Linked DNA regions of Mus musculus. The protein of the gene in region 1 binds, or shares a complex with, the protein of each later gene. Links are inferred from orthologs where the notes say so. Each region holds a gene or a part of one and is shown on either strand. Other genes may lie near its edges.

Region 1 (10,087 bases):
AGTCTTTGTAGATTTGCTTGATAAAATCATAAAGGCTGTAAGAAGTGAAGAAGAGAAACGGGAGGAAAAGCTCACTGGCTACTGTTGGCTCTGAGTAAGCAGCGGCCTACTATAAACTAATTAAGACATGCAGCTGCCTGGAGAGCAATTCTCAGCCTTAGGGTCATGACCCCTTTGGCAAACTCCAGTCTCCAACAATATTCACATTACCATTATGATTCATAAGAATACCAAAATGACAGTTATCAAGTAGCAATGAAAATAATTTTATGGTTCGGGACGAGGCTGGGGGGTCACTGCAACATGAGAAACCATATTAAAGGGTCATACAGTGGCAAGGTGGAGGGCCACTGCTCTAGAGCATGTGAGGAATGCCAGGGAACAGAGCAATCCCGAGAACCTCCACAACAGACTTCCTTTTTCACAGGTTCTAGGGATGGGGCTTGACTCGGGACTTTCACCTACCTACCGTCTTAACCCACCGGAAACCTGTTTGGGAAATCTGCCCTCCAGAGCCCCATATCAAATATTCTTTAATTTGAAGCCACTTAATATAAGCCAATGAATGCTGGTTTTAAAACTGTTTCCTCCTAGCTGTATTAAGATTTCTAACCATCATTTAACAAACTATTATAAAAGATAGCCTGAGTACTACAAGATAAGGCTCGGTGGCCCTTCGTTCATAGGCTCAAATGCCATCGGAGATCTGGAGCTCACCAGTGCCTGACCCTAGGGAATCACCCTCTGGGGAAATGCATGGCAAAACATGTGACCAAGAAATATGTGACCTAAGAATGTGACCAACACACTTCGTTTGCCTTGCATGAATGTGTTGATCTTAGATGTCCCAAGGCAATGAGAACAAATAACAAAAGAAAAATTAAGATTGTGGCTGGGTTCAAAAGCTTACAATACATATTTTCAAGTTTTACCAACATTTCCCCCCAAACTCTAGACGATAACTCTTCTGTTTCTGAAGCCGTTCACTAAATCCTATAAGGCAGGCATTATAGCTTCTGTCCGTGATACATTCCACAAATATCATGGTCTAAACACTTGAGCAGAGGACCTACGTGTACCAAAAACAAGAGTAAAATGCCCTCGGATCATTAGGACACTGCAAACAGTAGACCCCACTACAACAAAACGCACTGTCACTTTAACGATTACTAGAGTTATCTAAGAATAAGCTTGGTGTGGGAAAGCACTCTGTTTGATTTTAGGTATCATTCCTTCATTTTGGTCCTTTCACATTTTTACTAGTCCTTTTTCTTTAACGCTGTTTGGCTGCTATTTGTTCCTACAGACAGTGGGAAATTATGAAGAATATATTCTGGCATATTTTTACATAATTTAGCACACATTTACACATGACAAAGTAAAAGGCCTGTAAAGAAAGTGTGGAACACAGAGAAAACATAAGGACTTTGTCCCCTGGTGTGTTCACAGAAGTTGGACTCAGGCAGTCAAGAAGACCAAACACTAGACATCAACCGCACATATTCTTAATCCCTGTTAACTGCTCCTGTTGGAAACGCTGAGATGCTGGCGGAGAGGAGCCGGGTCTAAAACAGATGTTCATTCGGCATGCAATGGAGAAGGCAAGAACGGTTTCTGACACACAGCACGAGAGGAAAGAGAGGCAAAGGGAAAAGGCCAAGAAGAAGCAGAGAAATCTTCAGCAAGGAGGCTGTGAGGCAGAGGGAGCCTGGAGCTAGAAGTGGGAGGACGGGAAGTGGATTCAAGAGAAACTCCACATATGCAAAGCACACAATGACACAACCAGTAGCTCCAACTAGAATAACTACTAACACAAATAGACAGGGACACAGAAGCACACAACCCAGGGGGAAATGGCATGTCGACTCGTCCAAGGGAACATGTTGCCTCTCTGATAACTAAGGCTCTGGGAAATGGCTAAAGCAATGAAAAATGGAAACCTGATAAAGCAAGAATTCCTCAACTACACAAGTCATAGTATGTGTCCAAAGGCAGTGGAAGGACTGCTGATTGAAGGGCAACAGAAAATGCCCGTCAGCAGAAAACTTAAAAGTCCCCACCCGACTCCCCACCCCCACCCCAAGCCTATAACTATAACAGTATGCTATGCTAAGGAGGGAAGTCGGCTTCTGGGGGTGATTTGCTTGTGTGCGGAAGTGAGTATAGAGTACCGTCTGCTATAATAAAAGAAAATACAGCTCAAACCTTTGCAATGAGATTGCAACTGAGCAGCGAATTCTTGAGAACTGTACTTTTTTTTTTTTAAAGCTAGTACCTTTTATCTTAAAAAATCATCACCAAATGCAATTTAATAAATGACAGGAGTCCAACATAGTCTAACTGAACAATGTCCTAATTGTAATTCTACTGACCTTAGAATCATGAATTCTCAAAGATGTAATAGTAAAAGGTATTTTCCTCTGGAACAGTTATCCATACACAGTGGAAAGAGTGCTAAATATCTGCATGGATCATGTAAGCATCTTAACTGATTCATATACTGAAAGCTGGAAACTAAACTGAAATACTTAAGTGACCAAAAGTGCAGCCTGATCCCCTTCAGGTCAGAAGACAAGATTTGGTCCTCTCTATTGGTGCAGGCTTGAATCTCTGGACTTAGGGAACAGGGAAACACCTATGATTCAAATAGTAAATACTACACACCCAGCACCCAAATAGTTACTAATTATTTGCAAATCTTATGCAAGAGTCTCTCACTTCAGATATTTAAAACAATGCATTATTTCATGCAAAAAATGCAATGTTCTAAATAGACTGTTTTAAATGTTTTTATGCTGTATCTTTAAGTAAATTATTGAGAAGCAAAACTAAACAGATGAAGATGAAGATGAAGACACCCTCCTAGGAGTCCAGGTGGTATTGCTGGGTTACTTAGATACCACTTTACATCTCAGTTGACCAGCTACCATGAGTTAGGTGGATGACACCATAGAGTTACTTGCACACAGCCTTAAACATCCAAATTTGGACTAAAGGTCATAGTTCACTGCTAAGTCTGACTTGGGGAAAAAATTTTCAACTATTACAAGAATTAAGATTTGCGAAATAAGTACACAAGGATTTTTTTTTTCTCTTAAATGGGAACTAGGGTGTCGGATGAAGTGGTGCACAGGAAGACAGGGGTGGGCTGGAATTCTCGACAGAAAATACAGTTGTAGATGAAAGCAAAACCTCAAAGCTAGAAACAACACTTAAAGGAATTCCTTCACTGTTTCTTTGTTTGCTTGTTTATAACTTTAGAATCCTTCTCATGCACTGGTTTGGAGGAATAAGAACTGTATAATTTCTTCTGAAAATCAGGACTCTGGTACATCTCTCATTAACTCCCCACAGATGGTAAGAGAGATCAACTTCAGCTGCATGTTACACACTCAACTATATTTAATTATTAATCTAAAACAGTGGTTCTCCGCAGAGGTTACATTTCTGCCTCCAGGGGGCGTTTGGCAACATTTTAGGAGATTAGAAAGGGTGAGCAGCAATTAGCATCTAATGGGTGGAGGTCAACTTCATTGCTAAACATCCAACAGCACACAGGATACCTCCACACACACAGAGAACAACAAAGAATTATCAACTTCAAATCGTCAACAGTGATAAAAAGAGATACCTTGCATTCTGAAGCTTGCAAAAATTCCATTTTTCAAATCTTTCATAGGTGTCTAATTAAAAGATAAGCTGCCACTATCACTGGGAGGGCTCATTTTACAACTGCTTTAAATGTGGTGGATGGTAGCTCCAACTGAGAACAGTATTACAACCAAGGAGACCTTCCAAGCAGGTGCTCTGAAGCCACAGAGAAAGAACTGTCTAATCCCTTTATTTTATGTTTATTGTAAGTTACATGGTTCTGTGGCTAATATTCTAAAAACACGCCGATCTCATGGAAAGACAGTATCTTTTTAATATAAAAACTCAGTCAATCCTATTTACAGAGAAAGATTTATGGGGAGGCTGTGATGGGTGAAAAACACCACCCAGGTCTTTAAAATGCAAAGTTATTTCACAGTTTGCTTGCAAAATGACTCAGATCATTATTACTTTTAGTCATGCCAAGTTTGCTTCTTCTAAGCCTACTAGTAATGGAGAAAGAAGGAAATAACCACCATCTTTCTGCAGTCGTTAAACCAATGAAACGGGAGCTTACTAAAAAGCAGATCTGTGCAGCGATGTTTCTCTTTTATCACAACTGTGAGAAGAACACAAGCAAATCGCTGGAAGTGCAAACGAAGATTCTAAGAAATCTATCATCTGCCTAAATACCTACAGTGTGGGAGAAAAACAAACAAAAGGAAAAACCCTGACTCACAGATCTAAAAAAACCATAACCTGTGAATATTTTCCTTATATCGCTCAATCAAAATCCGGATCTACTCTTTTTTTTTTTTCCTCCGTTCAAAAAAACTGGAAGAAAGACCTTCACGTCGCCTATTAGCAAAACAGTGTTAAGAATGAAGAAAGAAAGCATGGTGTGCAGCTGTCAAACCTCACTGGAGCGAACACCGCAGTGGAGGAACGACCCTGTGGTCGAGGAGCCTTTCGCACCTGTCAGGGCTGTTTTCACCCGCGAAGCCTCTTTCCCTTCCTACTATGAGAGCAAACGTAAGCCAACTTTGGTGGTTTCCATCCCCCACCCAGGCAAAATCCAGCTTCCAGAGCAGCTCAAGTCCTTACGCAGGGAAAATCTCAGCGCTCTTTTCCACTCACTGAGTCGCCATATGAAGTTGACAGGAAGATCACTGAGACCCCGCAGAGGAAGAGGACCCACAAAGAGAGCCCCGAGGCCACCCAACGTGGCACTTTCCAGGCGTGGGCAAAGCGCAACGCGGCACGACACCTCTCACCACCGGGTTTCCGTGGAGAGGGGGTGCTTGGCTTTGTGGTCCCGAATTGTCCCTCATCTAGGGAGGGCAAAGCTCAACTTCAAAGATCGGATTCCCACGCGTCCCGCCGCCCCGCCACACTCTGGGCTGCCAGTGAGGTCGCGCGACAGTCACCGCCGCGGCCAAGAAGCCGCCTGCGCTGTTGAGGGACTGGGATGCCGCGCTCGCTCACCGCTGTCCCCCGGCCCGGGCCCCGTCCCCACGGCCGCGCTCACCCAGCAGCAGCAGCTTGACCTCCCGCGCCGCCTTCTCGCCGTCCTCCCGGAGGTTGCGGTCGATCATCTTGCTGCGCTCCACGGCCGCCTTGTCCTCAGCGCTCAATGTGCAGCCCATGGTGGCCGAGCGTCGCCGCGCCCTCGGCGCCGGGGCCGGCTGGCAGAGCGAGGAGAGGCTGGCCCGGAGGCGGCCCCGCTACGTCCTCAGCTCCCGCAAGCTGGAGGCGAGGTCTGCTAGTCCGCACGCTGCCGCCTCGGGCGGCCGTCCCTGCCGGCGACACTCCGCGATCCGCGCCCGCGAATCCCTGCGACCGCTAGGCTCTGCCGCCGCCGCCGCCGCCGCCGCCACCGCAGCTGCCCGTGGCCGAGCCGCAGCCGCGCACAGCCCGAGCGAGCTCGGCGTCCGCGCGCCGCCGCGGCCCCGCCCCTGCCCGCCCCGCGACCACTCCCAGCGCGCGCTCACGCCCGCCCGCGCACGTGCCGTCGGACAGCGCCCCCTCCGACCGCCGCGCGCCCGCGTGATCGCCGAGCCCAGCTTTTCCTGCAGGTCCCCCCACGAGGTGCCCCGTGCGGCCGCTGACTTCTCCAGCTCCGCCTGGGAGCTCACTAACCCCCTCCCACGCTTTGGAGACCACTGCGGGGGATCCGTGGGTACCTGCCCCTTAAGAGCGCGAGTGGGACGCTTGCCAAAGTTGCGAGCAAGGGGTGAGGAAAGGCAGTCCAGGGCATTTGAGCATGCCCGGAGCCTGCAGCCACCCAAGGGTTTACAAAATGTGTAGGCTTAGGTAAAGAACCGTGGGAAATAGAGCGAAATGAGCGAGAAATGGAGCCCTGCGAAACCCGAAGTGGGGAGCAACCAAGCGGGAATTGGGGTCTTGGGGTTGCCAATGCTCACTTCCTCCCTTGCCTTTTCTCTTTTCCTCTGGCTCTCCCTTTGATCTATGCTCACCTCCCTTTTCATAAGGGAACACATTTCTAAGGAATTTCTTCCTAATCCGACAGAAACGTTTGACAAAGAATCAAAGAATTGTTTTAAAATGGCGTGAGCAGTAAAACACACAAACAAGTCTGCGGCCTCTGTGGTAATGGATCGCCTTTAGGGCACTTGTAAGTGTCTTGCCAAGCTGCCTACCCATGGTTTATGGCTCTGTTGTAACTCCTGTGCCAGTAGGCATGGCATTTCTTTTTGTAGGCCTTAGCTTCCTTGCTTTTAAATGAGCTGTTGATCTACACTACAGTCCATCTTTCCAGGGGCAGGCCAAGGACTAGATGGCTTTTCATCCAGCGTGAGGGGAGGAGCATAGGTGGAAGGTTGGACTCTCCTGTCAGTTGCACTGCTGATTATAGGAGAAATGTTGATGAATTAGATGATGAAGCCACTAGCAAAGAAAATACATTCCTCGACGAGATAAAAATTAGGCAATTAGTCTCTGGCTCCCATTTGAATATTTAGCTTCAGGTTGGGTCCCTCAGAGCAAGCAGAGCTTATAGGTTTCCGTTTTGTTAGAGTCACACCTGCGGGGCACAAGATAAGCAATCTTAAGAACTCCCTCCGCTTTTTGTTGGATTCTTTCAAAATAGAACAAAACCCGCACACTTTTAGGGTACTCGGTCACCTTCTACCTCCTTTGTGTTTCCTGACACTCCAAAAGTTCATCAAGAATTCCAGAATTAATGAAATCTAATGTGACTGGGCCATTTGCAGCCATCAGTTGACTGTCCTTCCTCCACGGTTCAGGCCAGATAAGTGTGGGGCCAGCCAAAAGGGAAACAGGACTGAGGCATGGTGAAGCTGCACACCTTGTATAGGAATTGTCAAAGACTTATATGAATTGCCCCTTCCCTTTGAAAAGCTCGTCAAGGACATGAGGAAATAATCCTCACTTCTGAGAGGATGTTGGAAGAACTCTCCAGGGAAGCTGGTGGGCAGGGAACTGAGCACTGGAGCCCTGAACTGGTTGCCATAGCAAAGTATGGTGATCACATGACTTCAACAGCAGGCATTTATTTCTCAAGTCTGGAAATCTAAGATTAAAGGGCCAATGGATCCAGCTCTCTCTCCAGTGAGGGTTTTCTTGAGGAAAGAGGACCAGGGATGAGAGAAGAGAATTCTTTCTTCTCATACTGATATTGGCCCGCCACGTTCAGGATTCCATCTCTATGTACTTCCCAAGGGCTCTGCCTTCCAGACCAGGGTGTTAGGGCTTCAGCCGAAGGGTACTGAGGAGACATAAGCATTCAGTCCAGACTAGGGAATATTTTGTTTCATATGAATATCTAACTAAAAGATTAATAGGCAAAGTGTGAACAGAAGATGGCCAATATTTTATGATTGAAATGAAGTTTGCTGTGATGACTGAAATGAATGGAATGAACTTTTAAAATGAAAGTTTAAAAAGAACTATAAATATTGAGGTAAATAGTTGGACTTGTTACAGTGAGTGCTAAGTGTGCGTACATTCTTCTGAGTTAGGTAATAGAGATATAAAAGGAAAAATCTCTGCATTAGATGAAAACAAATGAGTTACTTACTATACTAATAAGTGAATGACATTGGTAATTCAGATATGAGATGGTAACCATCACTCACACTAGTAATATACATAATTATGATTTTGCAAAATATGACTCAGCAACATTATCAAGGAGTTGGAACAACCATTACGAAATCATCTACTATAGAGTACGTGAAAGAGTAAAATCGAAATTACAGAGGTTAAAAACCTACGTCTGAACACACGTTTCCCTTCAGAAATTCGTGATTGTTTTAACAGCTATACTAATTCCATAACACCTATCAATTTGAAATGTTCAGTTCAGTGGCTCTTAGTAGAGACAGAGTTCTACAACCACACCATTTGTGAAATGTTTTGTGCCCCACCAAGAAACCCCATATCCTTTAGCCATTCCCCCTAATCCAGTCTATTCTTCCAGCCCTAGAAAATCACTAATCTCATTTTTCTTCTTTTGCCTAATCTAGACATTTACATAAACAAAAAGAACCATATAATATCTAGCCTTTTATAACTGACTCCTTTGATTTACCATATTACTATTGGTTTTGAATGTTACTTCTTTCTATTGCTAAATGATGCTGAGTCTCATGTGCTAAGATAGACACACACATCAAGAAACAAATTGGGACATAATTAACTAAAAAGCATCAGGGTTTGAAATAGCTCTAAACTGAAATGGAAGTTTCTGGATATGTCAGGTGATGCAGACTCACGTGTTGTTTTGCTGAGGCAGGACTCATGGGAGGATATGTGATGTTTGGAGAGAGTATAAATAGAACTCAACAGACAGTGACAGTGTGCTTGCGTAGCTAGCTTTGCAACACTTAGTCTCAAGTCTTCATTGATTTTTGCTTCATTGAGAGAGGGATAGCAGAGAACTTTTCCTGGTGTCCTGGATGATCCTAGTCACTCCCACTGATCCATGCTGATTTGGAAGCCTAGCAGTTTCTGCTGGATGGTTCCACGTCTGCTGATTCATGTTTGGTATCCTGAGACTACTGAACTGGATTGCTGGTATTCTGACAAAAGGAGATTGGAATTTCCCCAAAGAACTACTTCTAAACAGATCCACATCTCCTTGTCCTATTTACCATCTTTTCTCCTCTACCTTTGGATGGTGGGCTAGAAGTGGAGGTTTGAACCATTTGAGGATCCTTATTAAATGTAGGTTTTGAAAAATCTCAGCCTACACTAAACTATGTTATAAAATATCTTGGGGGAAAATTGTGGGTATTTAATGTAGGAATGAGAAGAAACATTTGAGCTGACCATTATTTTCAAACGAATGAGGATATGTCATAAATCAGAGGCCAAGTGACTTTGGGTTGTAGAGGTAGAAATACAAAAAGAATGCTACAGCCAACAAAACTTCCTTGGAGTGAGGGAAAGAGGTGCACAGTTCCTGCTTATTCATCATAGTCTAAGATGTAAACATCTATTTGAGCACTCTAGACCTATATCAGCTTTGAAGATTCTACAGTTCTCAGTCATCAAATGGCCTGGTCCCATTTGAGTCTAAACTGAGACTGCAGTACTCCAGAAACAATTTCTCTGTTCATAATACCCTTACAAGTACAAACAAAAGTTACCCGAGATGTTGGTTTGAGGTTGGAGTAAATTAGTATGCGAGAAGAAACTCAGAAGAGATGGAGCCAAGATACCTCTGGGGACCAAGGAGTGAGTGACAGATCAGAAGGATAGTGTTTATCATTGGATATAGGGTGAACACACTTGGCTTATGAACCCCACTCCATTAACTGCATTGGTTAAAGCTCCTGTTTAGGAAATCAAAAGAATTTGGTTTGGGGACTAGCTGGGAATATTTCGAAATATAGGTGGGGTAGCCTGGCCTTTGCTTTCAATTTGCTTTACAGATCCCAAGCTGAAACCATTCTTATTAGAGGTCATGTGAGCTTTTAAGTGAAGATTTTGGGGTGGAGTGGGATGGGGTAGGGTGTGGGTTGGGTGCAGGACTGTTGAATTAATATAAAGGATGTGGTGGTTAGAACCACTGGTCACCACAACAAAACCTGGACTCACCTAGGAAAGAGACCTTTAGACATTCCTGTGTGGGTGGGTGTGTCTTGATTACATGAACTAAGCTGGAACATCTTCCCAACACCATGACGTAGAAACTGGGCCGGCATCCTCTCTGGTTGAGGCATACTACTACCTATCCATGCCAGCTTGGAGTCACTGAAAGCATCTTTGGTGTTGAGTAGCTTCATTTTAATGATGGACCTTGCTCCACGGCAATGTTTAGTCTCCCTGAAGAAAATTCATGGACAGTGGCACGATGAATGGGATTTATAAATAGAGGTTACAGAGAATATGAGACACTATCATTAAGCTGCAGGATAATCTCTGAGTGCATGTGAATGTGAAGGCATCTTGAGTGACTCAGAATTATTGGGACAATTTTCATTTCCTCAGACTGAAATCTATTTGGGAG
Region 2 (10,358 bases), on another chromosome or scaffold:
TGAGTATTTTAATGTAAAAATGTAATAATTGTAACCCATTATATCAACATGTAATGGAAAAAAATCATCATTTCATATAAAACCTCTGAGTAGGCTTGGGCAGAAATGCTCGTGGCTCTAAAGCACTAAATCAGAAAGCTACAGTTGCGGGCATATTTGGATAGAATTCTTAGGAACTCCGAGGGAACGGTATTCATGAAATTGGTGACTAGAGGACAGAAATGAGGAGGGAGTTTAGCTAGAGGGTCTGGGTAGAAGGAAGGGTGGAAGAGAAGCAGGTGGTGGCCTGTGCCTGAGAGTGAGAACCTAGGATAAGACCTGGGTAATTAGCCAGAAAAAAGGGCGAGAGGAGAATGGAGAACAGAGCATCTGGCACATAAGGAACCCATGACACTTGAGTGTTGTGGGCGAGTCCAAGGGAGCAGGGGGGCAACAGGAGAATAATGAGCAGGTGGTAGGTTCCCCGGTTCATTAATTAGAGGCTGCTGTTGACCTTAGCCGAAGCTGTGCTGAGAACTGAGGGCTGTGTGGGTGGACACTCAGTGGGAGAACAGGAAACCGAAGCAGAAAATAGGTGCTTCCACTACAAAAGGGAAGTGAGCTGTACTGTGCCACCCTGAGAAGGAAACGAAGTCCAGGGGAGGTTTCAGTGGGTTGTGGTGAACCCCCAGGGATGCTGAGAATACAGCAGACAGGGAGATAAATGGACAAGCTCCTCTGGAGGAATTAGGAAAGGGACCAATAGGAAATGTTTCCCTAGGAGAAAAAATAAATTCCCAATGGTCATTATTCATTAATCCAAAGAGCATTTAAGAAGGATCTACCATGTACCAGGCGATGTGCTGTGAATCAGAAAAAAAAAAAAAAAAAAACAAAAAAAAAAAACCAAAAAACAAAAAACCACTCCTTCTACATTGTATTACTTAAGTCCAGTGACCTAAAACAAAAGTGAATCTAAATGAAAAAACAAACAAACAAAACAAAACAAAACAAAACCCAGACAAGACTTTGGCCTTCCAGGCTTAGGCTAAATCAAGGAGTTCTGCCTTTGGCAGAAATAAGGCTTCATGGGAAGGAGTCCCTGAGATGGGTCCTTACGACTTATTCCAGAGACCCAGACCCTGGAATTTGAACACAGAATCCCGTTACGACGGAGGTAATGCAACTTTAAGTGTGGTGACATGCTTGCGCTACAGCTGATCCGGGAGGAGGTTCTTGCAACCCTGCTGTGTTTGAGGTGTTCAAGCCTTTAATGCAGAAGACTGTAGGAGAGGATGGGACAACCGTTCCAGGCTACCAATAGGCTGGACATTCGAACCTTTGCCCCAGAAAGACCAAACTACGGCTTCTCTTTCAGTTCTTCCTCTTTCTACTGAAATCCAGCCTGATCTAGTTAAATCCATCAGAGCCTGCTTGCTGGCATCACCAGAGTTCTTCACAGTCATCAACATGACTGGTTTTATTTATTTATTTTTTAAAAAATCAGATTTGAAAAGGAATAGTAAGGGGAGGTATATTCCTCTTTCCCTTCTGAAATAAATCCTCAAGGTTGGACTGGGAGAGGTTCATGACTCATGGCCAGGGACCTCACTCCATGTGAACGAAGGAGGTCTGTACCAAGCAGTGCCAGAGAGGAGACAGGTTAAATGTGTGAACAGGGATTTAGAAAAAGTCCAGAAGGAAAGGGCCTTTGACATCACTGAGTGGACGCTTCTTGCTAGCAAGGCAGGAATAATCTGCCAAGGCTAACTGAAGGATGCCTTTCTTAGAATTCAGGACACCTGGAACTCCACACACCAGTCTTCTCTTTTATGTTAAATTTGTAAGTAAACAACCTTTGGTTGTTGTTGTTGGGGTGTTGGGTGTACCTTTCGGGGAGAAGTTCCCAAGTGCACAGGGAAACCAACACTTGTACCAAAGCAGATTTGAGTCCTGAGTGTGAGTCTCCATGACATCCCATATCATGAAAAGCTCAGAGGTCCTTCTCATTCATCCTATGGAGTCTTCAGGGAAATTGCTTTTCCCCAACACCCACTATTCAAAAATAGGCTTTAAACTTTAGTTTAATAATCACAGCAGGCCTGAATAAAAGTTGCTGAGTGTGTTCTGGGGACAGGGTGCAGTAAAGTGCCTGACAAACAAGTATCAGTCCTGAGTTCAGATCCAAAGTGCGCACATAAAAAGCCAGGCATGGTGGCACATATCAGTAATCCCAGCTCTGGGAGAGCAGGAACAGAAGATTCTTGGAGATCAGTGGCCAGCCAGCCTAGCAAAAGCCGTGCAGGTTCAGAGAGAAAGAGAGAGAGAGAGAGAGAGAGAGAGAGAGAGAGAGAGAGAGAGAGAGGAAGAAGGAGGAGGAGGAGGAGAGGGATCACCACACAGTTCCTACTCAGCACACACACAACTTCCCAGTTGTCATATCTTCCATTACATTGGCTCATTTGTCACAATCGATGAAGCATCCTGACACGTTTACATTGACCCCATAATTTACACACAGGTTCTCTGGGTGTTTATCTAGTAGGTTTGGACAAACGTACAGTGATGTTTTCCACCATCAGAGTACCATCCAGAGTAGTTTCCCTGCCCTGTATTCCACCTCCCGGTCCCTAGCCCCCCCCCCCCCCCTCCCGACAGCTGGTGGTCCCTGCAGTTTTACGTTTCCCAGTATGGAATACAGTTGGGCTTGGGCAGTGCGCAGCCTTTTCAGATGCTTCTTTTGCTTAATAACAAGCATTTCCGGTTTCCTTAGGTGTTTTATGTCTTGACAGATGATTCCTCTTCATTGCTAACTGGTGTTCCATTGTCTAGCTGGACGATGGACTCCATCTTTAGATCGCCTGACTATGGTACTCACACTTCTCTCATCCCGCCGAAACACAAGCCAAGAGGAGAGGTGTCTAGCGATGGGAAAAGGAATTGAAATTATGATTTGAGCTAAGGCTCGCATATTTTCTGTAGCTAATTACTCATGTCCCACTTTGCCAAGGGTGTGTGTGTGTGTGTGTGTGTGTGTGTGTGTGTGTATGTGGCTGAATTTCAATTCAAATGTAAGGTAATTTTCTCTGAAATTGTACTGGGGTATATTTATCTCTGAGAAAAGAAGTCTTACCTCCAGGATGATTCAGATGGAGATGAAATTTTACTCTAACATTTAAAGGAGAGGAAAAAAAGGAAGGAAAGAAAAAAAAATCAGGCAGAGTGAAAAATGAGACAGAATGGAGAGAGAGAGAGAGAGAGAGAGAGAGAGAGAGAGAGAGAGAGAGATTTGTTAACCACAGGATTCTCTGAAAAAGGTATTTTTCTCTTTTACAAGTTAGCAGTTACTGAATAATTCATGAAGCAGGGAAAGGCTGTCTTCTCCCTGGGTGATGGATAACTGAGCAGGAGAGGCTCCAAGTGGGTTTGCCACATCAGCCAGCGCTCTTGCTTGGAGCACAGGGTGCGCTCCTCTCCAGCTCAGTTTCTTCTGCTCTTGTAGCCAGGCATCTTCGCTGCTGCTGCCTGCCTGCCCACCCTTCTGGGCTTGCAGCCTACCGCTTGACTTTCTCCAATTCTACTGCCAGCTGAGGAGACTCCCCACAGCTGTTGGCTCCTGCCTGGGACCATGTGTGGGGATGCTGCACGGGAGAAGCAAGGCGCTTGCTCCTGGCACGGGTCCCAGCTCAGTTTCTCCTGTTGACTTCTGGACCACAGATGCTGCTGCCGAGGAGGTATTTCCTGGCATCTCTCCCTCTGCTATCACCAGCTAAGGACTGGCCCCAAATCAAGGTACCTCTACTCCCTCTCTTTGGCGTTTTTCCCAGCTAGGAGATATCTACTTTCTCTCGGTAAAGAGAGCTCCGGCTGGCAACACACATTCCCAACTCGTGTGTGTGTGTGTGTGTGTGTGTGTGTGTGTGTGTGTGTGTGTGTTTGGGGAAACTGTCCTAGGTGTGGATATGACCTTAGGGCTTCCCTGCTGCTTGCTGAGTGTAAAGCGGACCTTCTCTGTCATCGGAGACATTTCTGAGGCAGGCACCTGTCATCTGCCACCCCCGTTCTCCTGTTCTTTTTCACCTCCCTCCCTTCTCCCCCTCCTCCAGCCCATTATTCGGCTTCAGCCTTTTGTGTCGGTGACAGCGGGCTGAAGAAATGTTTTTGCCCTCCCAGCAGGCAAGTGCCAGGATGGGCCACGCTACACGAAGCCAACGCTAGGGCGCGAGGTGTGAAGAGTTGGCCAGAATGACCAACTCCTCCTCCACTTCGACCTCCACCACTACCGGGGGATCGCTGCTGCTGCTCTGCGAGGAAGAAGAATCGTGGGCGGGCCGGCGGATCCCGGTGTCTCTCCTGTACTCGGGCCTGGCCATCGGGGGCACGCTGGCCAACGGTATGGTCATCTATCTCGTGTCGTCCTTCCGAAAGCTGCAGACCACCAGCAACGCCTTCATCGTGAATGGCTGCGCCGCGGATCTCAGCGTCTGCGCCCTCTGGATGCCACAGGAGGCGGTGCTGGGGCTCCTGCCCTCGGGCTCCGCGGAGCCCCCGGGGGACTGGGACGGTGGCGGAGGCAGCTACCGCCTGCTCCGGGGCGGGTTGTTGGGCCTCGGGCTCACTGTGTCCCTTCTGTCCCATTGCCTCGTGGCGCTGAACCGCTACCTGCTCATCACCAGGGCGCCTGCCACCTACCAGGTGCTCTACCAACGGCGCCACACGGTGGGCATGCTGGCACTGTCCTGGGCGCTCGCCTTGGGTCTGGTGCTGCTGCTCCCGCCCTGGGCTCCTAAGCCCGGAGCCGAGCCACCGCAAGTCCACTACCCCGCGCTCCTGGCGGCGGGAGCGCTGCTTGCGCAGACGGCGCTGCTGTTGCACTGCTACCTGGGCATCGTGCGCCGCGTGCGCGTCAGCGTCAAGCGGGTCAGCGTGCTCAACTTCCACCTGCTGCACCAGCTACCCGGCTGCGCCGCCGCCGCCGCCGCCTTCCCCGCCGCCCCGCACGCGCCGGGTCCGGGAGGCGCCGCGCATCCCGCGCAGCCTCAACCCCTGCCGGCCGCTCTGCAGCCTCGCCGGGCGCAGCGGCGTCTCAGCGGCTTGTCGGTGCTGCTGCTCTGCTGCGTCTTCCTGCTGGCCACGCAGCCGCTGGTGTGGGTGAGCCTGGCCAGTGGCTTCTCCCTCCCGGTGCCCTGGGGCGTGCAGGCGGCCAGCTGGCTCCTGTGCTGCGCCCTGTCGGCGCTCAACCCGCTGCTCTACACGTGGAGGAACGAGGAGTTCCGCAGATCCGTGCGATCTGTCCTGCCGGGCGTCGGGGACGCGGCTGCGGCCGCCGCGGCCGCCACCGCGGTGCCAGCCATGTCCCAGGCGCAACTGGGTACCCGGGCGGCTGGCCAGCACTGGTAACACACCTTGCTTGGAGAGGCTTCCTAAGCCACCTGCCGCACTGCCTCCTTCTTTTGTAAGCTATCCCCAGCCCCAGGGAAGATCCCAGTGGAGAACATTTTGCCTTCCTCCCCAGTGCAATACCAGAACCAAGGTCTTCCCCTAAAGGGAGTCCCAATTGTGTGCGGCCATTGACGTTTACCCTTTTGTTTCTGTGTTTTAAAGACACCCGTGGGTCCATCCAGACACTCAGACTGCAAGGACTTGTAAACTGGCATTTTTAGAGAACCAGTTAATTTATTTCAAGTTTGCTTTTGAAAAAGAGCTTTCATATCATAACGTACAACCCTTCCAACCTCCACCGTCTTATATACGAAGCGCCTTGAGTGTGTGTGTGCATGAGCCAAAGGGAATACCGTTGATGAAGAGACTGTGTGTAGATAGTATCCTAACCACACTTTCTTCTGTTAGAGTTTAGTCTTTGTATATTGACCTGGAAGAGTGAAACCACAGGTGTGTACACCGTCGTGAGTTGCCACTGAGACCTCAGGCCCTTTATTCTTAAAAGGGCTTTTTTTATTGAGTCATTTTTGAAATGAGATTGACTCTCAGCCAGTGAGGAAACAAACCAAATTTATTATTTTACTCTCCTCTCTATTTATTTCTAAGGTGGAAAGCTACCGTCGAGTGTTAAAGCGAAAAAATGTCAAGTTTTGGATTGGTCAGAAACCAGAAATGGAATTTTAAAAGCAAAAACAGGGGGAGCTATCTATTTTGGGTAGCACTTTCACATATTCTGAAGCATGCACACTTCTTGCTACCCACATTTGTAACTGATTTATTTGCCTCTGAGTGTGATTGCAGCTTTGAACATTCTGTACTATAATGGTTGCTAAGGGGAATGACTCCTGTAGTCTCTTTAAAATATCTCAATGCACATGACATAATTAAACACTAATACCATAATTGCATAGCTAATGTTAGCTGCCATTGCATGCTCCTAGATGTTAGAACTTACTGGGCATGTGGTACACAAAGCAATACCCATTAGACAAGGACATTTTACTTCTTCCAGACACCAGAAGAAAAGGTCTTTTAATCATCTGAAAAGAGATGTAGATGAACCCGTGGCTCCCTAGAGTTCTTGTCTTGACCTGGCTTATGAGAAAACTCCCATTTGGGGACTTTATCTCCCAAATGAAACCAATGGTCAGGGTGATAAAATTCAGATTGGCTCCATCAAGTTACCTGTGCGTTTTAGGGGTTAAACAAGCCACACGTTAGGAAGTAACACTGTTTTATGTTGTTCATATATATTACAAAAACATTTATTATTAGTATCATGTCTGTTGAAGATGGAATCAGGCAGACAGTTATGCAGAAGGAGAATATTTCGAATGGGACTCTGTTCTCCAATGTATCAGTTGAGGTTTGCAGTCTTCATCTTTGATTTCCTAAATGTATAGATGCATTTACAATGTACAAAAAACAAAAACAAAAACACTGAAATCGTTTTGTAAAATTAAACAGGGAAGAAAGTAACAGGAGGCCTAGACCAGTCTGTTATCCACATAAAATCTGGGGCCAAATAGCCTCAATTAACTGTGTAATTCAGGAGCAAAGACAGCTTGCTTTGTTGCACTCTTGGACCAAGAATGGTAAGAACATTTGTATTTTTGAAAAAATTGGGAGACACGGGAAACAGATATTTTATAGCAAGGCAAAATAAAATAAATATGTTTGTCACTAACAATACGTTGGCAGTCATGTCATTAACCAAACTGTGTGCATGTGTCATTTTTCTCTTACGAAGATTTCTTCTGTTTCCAGTTTCCTGGATTCAGATATTTAATTAAAGTTTCCATAATGCTTCTCTTGGCTCTATCTCTTCTTTCTTGGGTATCCTCTCTCTGTCTCTGTCTTAAGGATCCTGTACCCGAAGACACTGTTCCAAAACACTACAGATACAGAGCGACTCCTTTTTTGCTGGCTGTAAGTTTGTTTTCAGTTTCTAAAATGCTTTTTACTTCATATAGTTACATAAGCTCCTTACATTGGTCTGGGAAAAGAAATAGCTATGTTTTCTTTCTGTAAACATGGAGGAATGGGTCATAAAGATAACAGAGAGATGGCGATGTTCTAAAGCTCTGTCAACAAGCTCTTCTAGTTAACCATTGTCCTGGTTTCTCATGTTCCCTCTCTGTCCCAATAATGCACCACACATATATAGAGATTTGTGAATGAGACTCTGATACCTTGCCATGTTTCTGGCTAGCACTCCCAGGCTGGCACTGTGCCACATGGGAGGCCTACTTTTGATTAATTTACTAGTAATTAACTCCACAGGACTGTCTCCTTTTAGTTTTAAAGTAGCACTGAAGCATCTAAAAATGCCTGCCTAGGCGCTGCCTGCAAGTGTTGGAGTTACTGCTTTGACAAATTAAATTAATGGAGATTGTGTTCTTATTTAAATGAAACCACATATTATCCACTCAGGAATTTATATATATATATATATCCTAACTGCTATCCTGGGCTGTCCTAATTTACTTTTGTGCTTCTTTTTCTTTCCGTGCATGCCTATTAAGCTGTATAACATCTGCCTCCCTTCTAAATGCATTTCAAGGGCTAAATTCCAGGACAGAATAGGCCCTAACCCCACATTTTCTTCCTTCCACAATGAAGAGCATTAACAAAGAAGAATTCTGCTTGGTACAGGGACATTTGCAGGTGGTATTTCAGGTCAGGTAAATTTCTCTTTGTCTCAGAATCACAGAGAAAAGATTTCCACACTGGGATATTTTCCTTTTCAGAGGGACCCAGCAGAGGATGTCATGCAGAAGAGGAAGGGCAAAGATACTTTCTTTGAATCACTGATAAGGAAAGTTGTTGAAAAGATCTACTTGCCAATAGGGAGTTGGTCTTGTTTGAATTCTCAGTGGAGGACAACCTTGTCCCACTGATGATGACTGCACTAGCTGACGTGTCCCCTTTATTGCAGAGTCTAGAGGTTCAGATGATGGTTGCCCCACCCTCCTCTAAGGCAATCTTAGTGACTGACAAGTTCACAACATGATTCTGCATCAAAGAACATGGAGGAGCTGGGGCAATGGCTCAGCCAGTAAAGTGCTTGCTGTAGAGGCCTGAGGACCCGAGGTCAGATCCTTACAATGCATTTAAAAAGCCAAGCATGGCATGCCATGTCTGTAATCCCAGGGCTGGGAAGGCAGAGACAGATGGAGATGCTGGAACTTGCTGGCTACCCACTTTAACTAATGGGCAAGTTCCAGATTCCAGTGAGAGGATTTACCTCAGAAAATAAAGTGGGAAATAATTGAAAAAGATCCTTGATAGCAGCTTTTGGTTTCTACATGCGCACAGATATTTGACTCACATGAGCTAGAGCTCTTGGTCTATGGGAAGGCGACCTTTCCTTCCTTGGTATTTGACCTTAAGGAACCTCATGCAAATGTGTGTCATTTAGCTCACAGCTCACAGTTCTGCCTGCATTCCTGTCTCAGCCAGATACCTTGTCACAGCTGGCATCTAGTGGTGAACCTATAGGGCCCAGAACATTCCCTGGAAGTGATCTTTGGCTCCTTGGGCAGGAAACTCCTGGGTTCCAGGCCCTGGCATCTGTTGATAGAGATAGAAGTTCCTGACTGCCATATGTCCTTGTGGGATGGGGGAAGGAGGATGGAAGCCCTGCCTTTTAAGTGCCAGACCTAGTTGGAGTCCCAGTTTCGCTAAGTGCAATTGTGCTTTCAGTATTCATTTCTAGGTCCTGTCAGGGCAGCCTTGCAGAGCCTGTCCCACCTATAGGGCCTCCTTACTAGAGCCTCACACTGAGATTCCAGATGCTTCAGAAGGCCTGATGCACAGTTGAAGGTAAGGGAAAGACTGCAGTGGAAGCAGATGTTGGAGACAGATGTCTGGAAGAAGGATGTGATGGTACACGGGATGCCCTGCCCGTTCAGCTGTGCACCTTTGGAATTTTCACAAGGACACATGCCTTAAAAAAATTTTTTTTAGCGAAAGCTAAATAAATAACAAAAAGAAAAAGAGAAGGAACAGTGTAGAAATGAAAGAAGCCAAAGCCTGAGATGCCACGAGGTTAATTACATGCATCTGGACTGAAAGGCAGGTCTGACTCTGGACCATGACACTGTAGCTAGTATTATGAAAGTAACAATCAAAACTCTACACAAATCCTGGAGTCCCCTTCACAATGTGACCATTCCTTAAGCTGTCTTCCTGACTCAGATCCCTTGGTACAGCCCTGTTGTCTGCATACTAGCTGTTATCATAGACCAGCTTCATGCCAACCTCAGATCATCCAAGGGCTTTACTGTGCTAGTCTAGCTTTTTACACTGAGAAAGCTCGTTCACTGTCTTCCTGCTCACCCTGTCTTCTCTGACCTGGCCTTGGGCTTCTTCTCTACGTGTACAACCTTAGTCTTACATATTCCATTGTTATGATATCTCTTTTTAAATGTATGTGTGTATGTCTGTGCATATGTTAGTGTATGTTTGTGTGATACACACAAAAACATGCATAGATACACACACACACACACACACACACACAGAAAGAGAGAGAGAGATAGACAGACAGACAGACAGACACACAGAGGATCTTAAAAACTAGATAGGAAAGCTAATTTTTCTTTCATTTATTTTTATCTATTTTGTAATAGAATTTTTTTACAACCAGTCACTGGAAGTACATTATGTATTTAATATATATTTTGTAGCTGATAGCAGTAATTTTCCATTTTTAAATTAATTTATGTTCATATAACAAAATGAGTTTTATCGAGGCATCTTCATACTTATGTGTCATGATAATGACAGTTTTTAAAGAACAAAGATTTGACTTGTTCTCTTGAGTATTTATTTTTCTCGTAATGAAATCGACTCAGGAATAAATCCTAGTTCCCAACTTGCCAAAGGCTATCCCAGGGTAATGAAGTACAGGGCTGTGAGACAGGTGCTGAGGA

What was found. Proteins that work in one complex are often made in the same cells at the same time.
Region 2: the proteins of Gnai1 (region 1) and Gpr88 are in contact, whole or in part, in a cryo-EM structure (PDB 7EJX), measured with the Homo sapiens proteins. The link is inferred for Mus musculus from reciprocal best matches to the Homo sapiens genes GNAI1 and GPR88. Residues at the interface, in NP_002060.4 of Homo sapiens: Arg24, Glu28, Ala31, Arg32, Tyr320, Asp337, Ala338, Thr340, Asp341, Ile344, Asn347, Leu348, Lys349, Asp350, Cys351, Gly352, Leu353, Phe354; in NP_071332.2 of Homo sapiens: Ser66, Arg138, Leu141, Ile142, Pro146, Ala147, Gln150, Gln154, Ile215, Arg218, Val219, Ser222, Val223, Arg225, Val226, Ser285, Val286, Tyr336, Arg339, Asn340.

What each region holds. Positions count from the first base shown.
Region 1 is NC_000071.6:18,354,933-18,365,019, forward strand, and holds the start of Gnai1 (guanine nucleotide-binding protein G(i) subunit alpha-1), read right to left. Parts: upstream 5,482-10,087; 5' UTR 5,238-5,481; coding exon 5,120-5,237; intron 1-5,119. UniProt on the Homo sapiens protein: Guanine nucleotide-binding proteins (G proteins) function as transducers downstream of G protein-coupled receptors (GPCRs) in numerous signaling cascades.
Region 2 is NC_000069.6:116,246,527-116,256,884, reverse strand, and holds Gpr88 (probable G-protein coupled receptor 88), read left to right. Parts: upstream 1-3,400; 5' UTR 3,401-3,771; intron 3,772-4,152; 5' UTR 4,153-4,224; coding exon 4,225-5,379; 3' UTR 5,380-7,231; downstream 7,232-10,358. UniProt on the Homo sapiens protein: Orphan G protein-coupled receptor implicated in a large repertoire of behavioral responses that engage motor activities, spatial learning, and emotional processing. May play a role in the regulation of cognitive and motor function.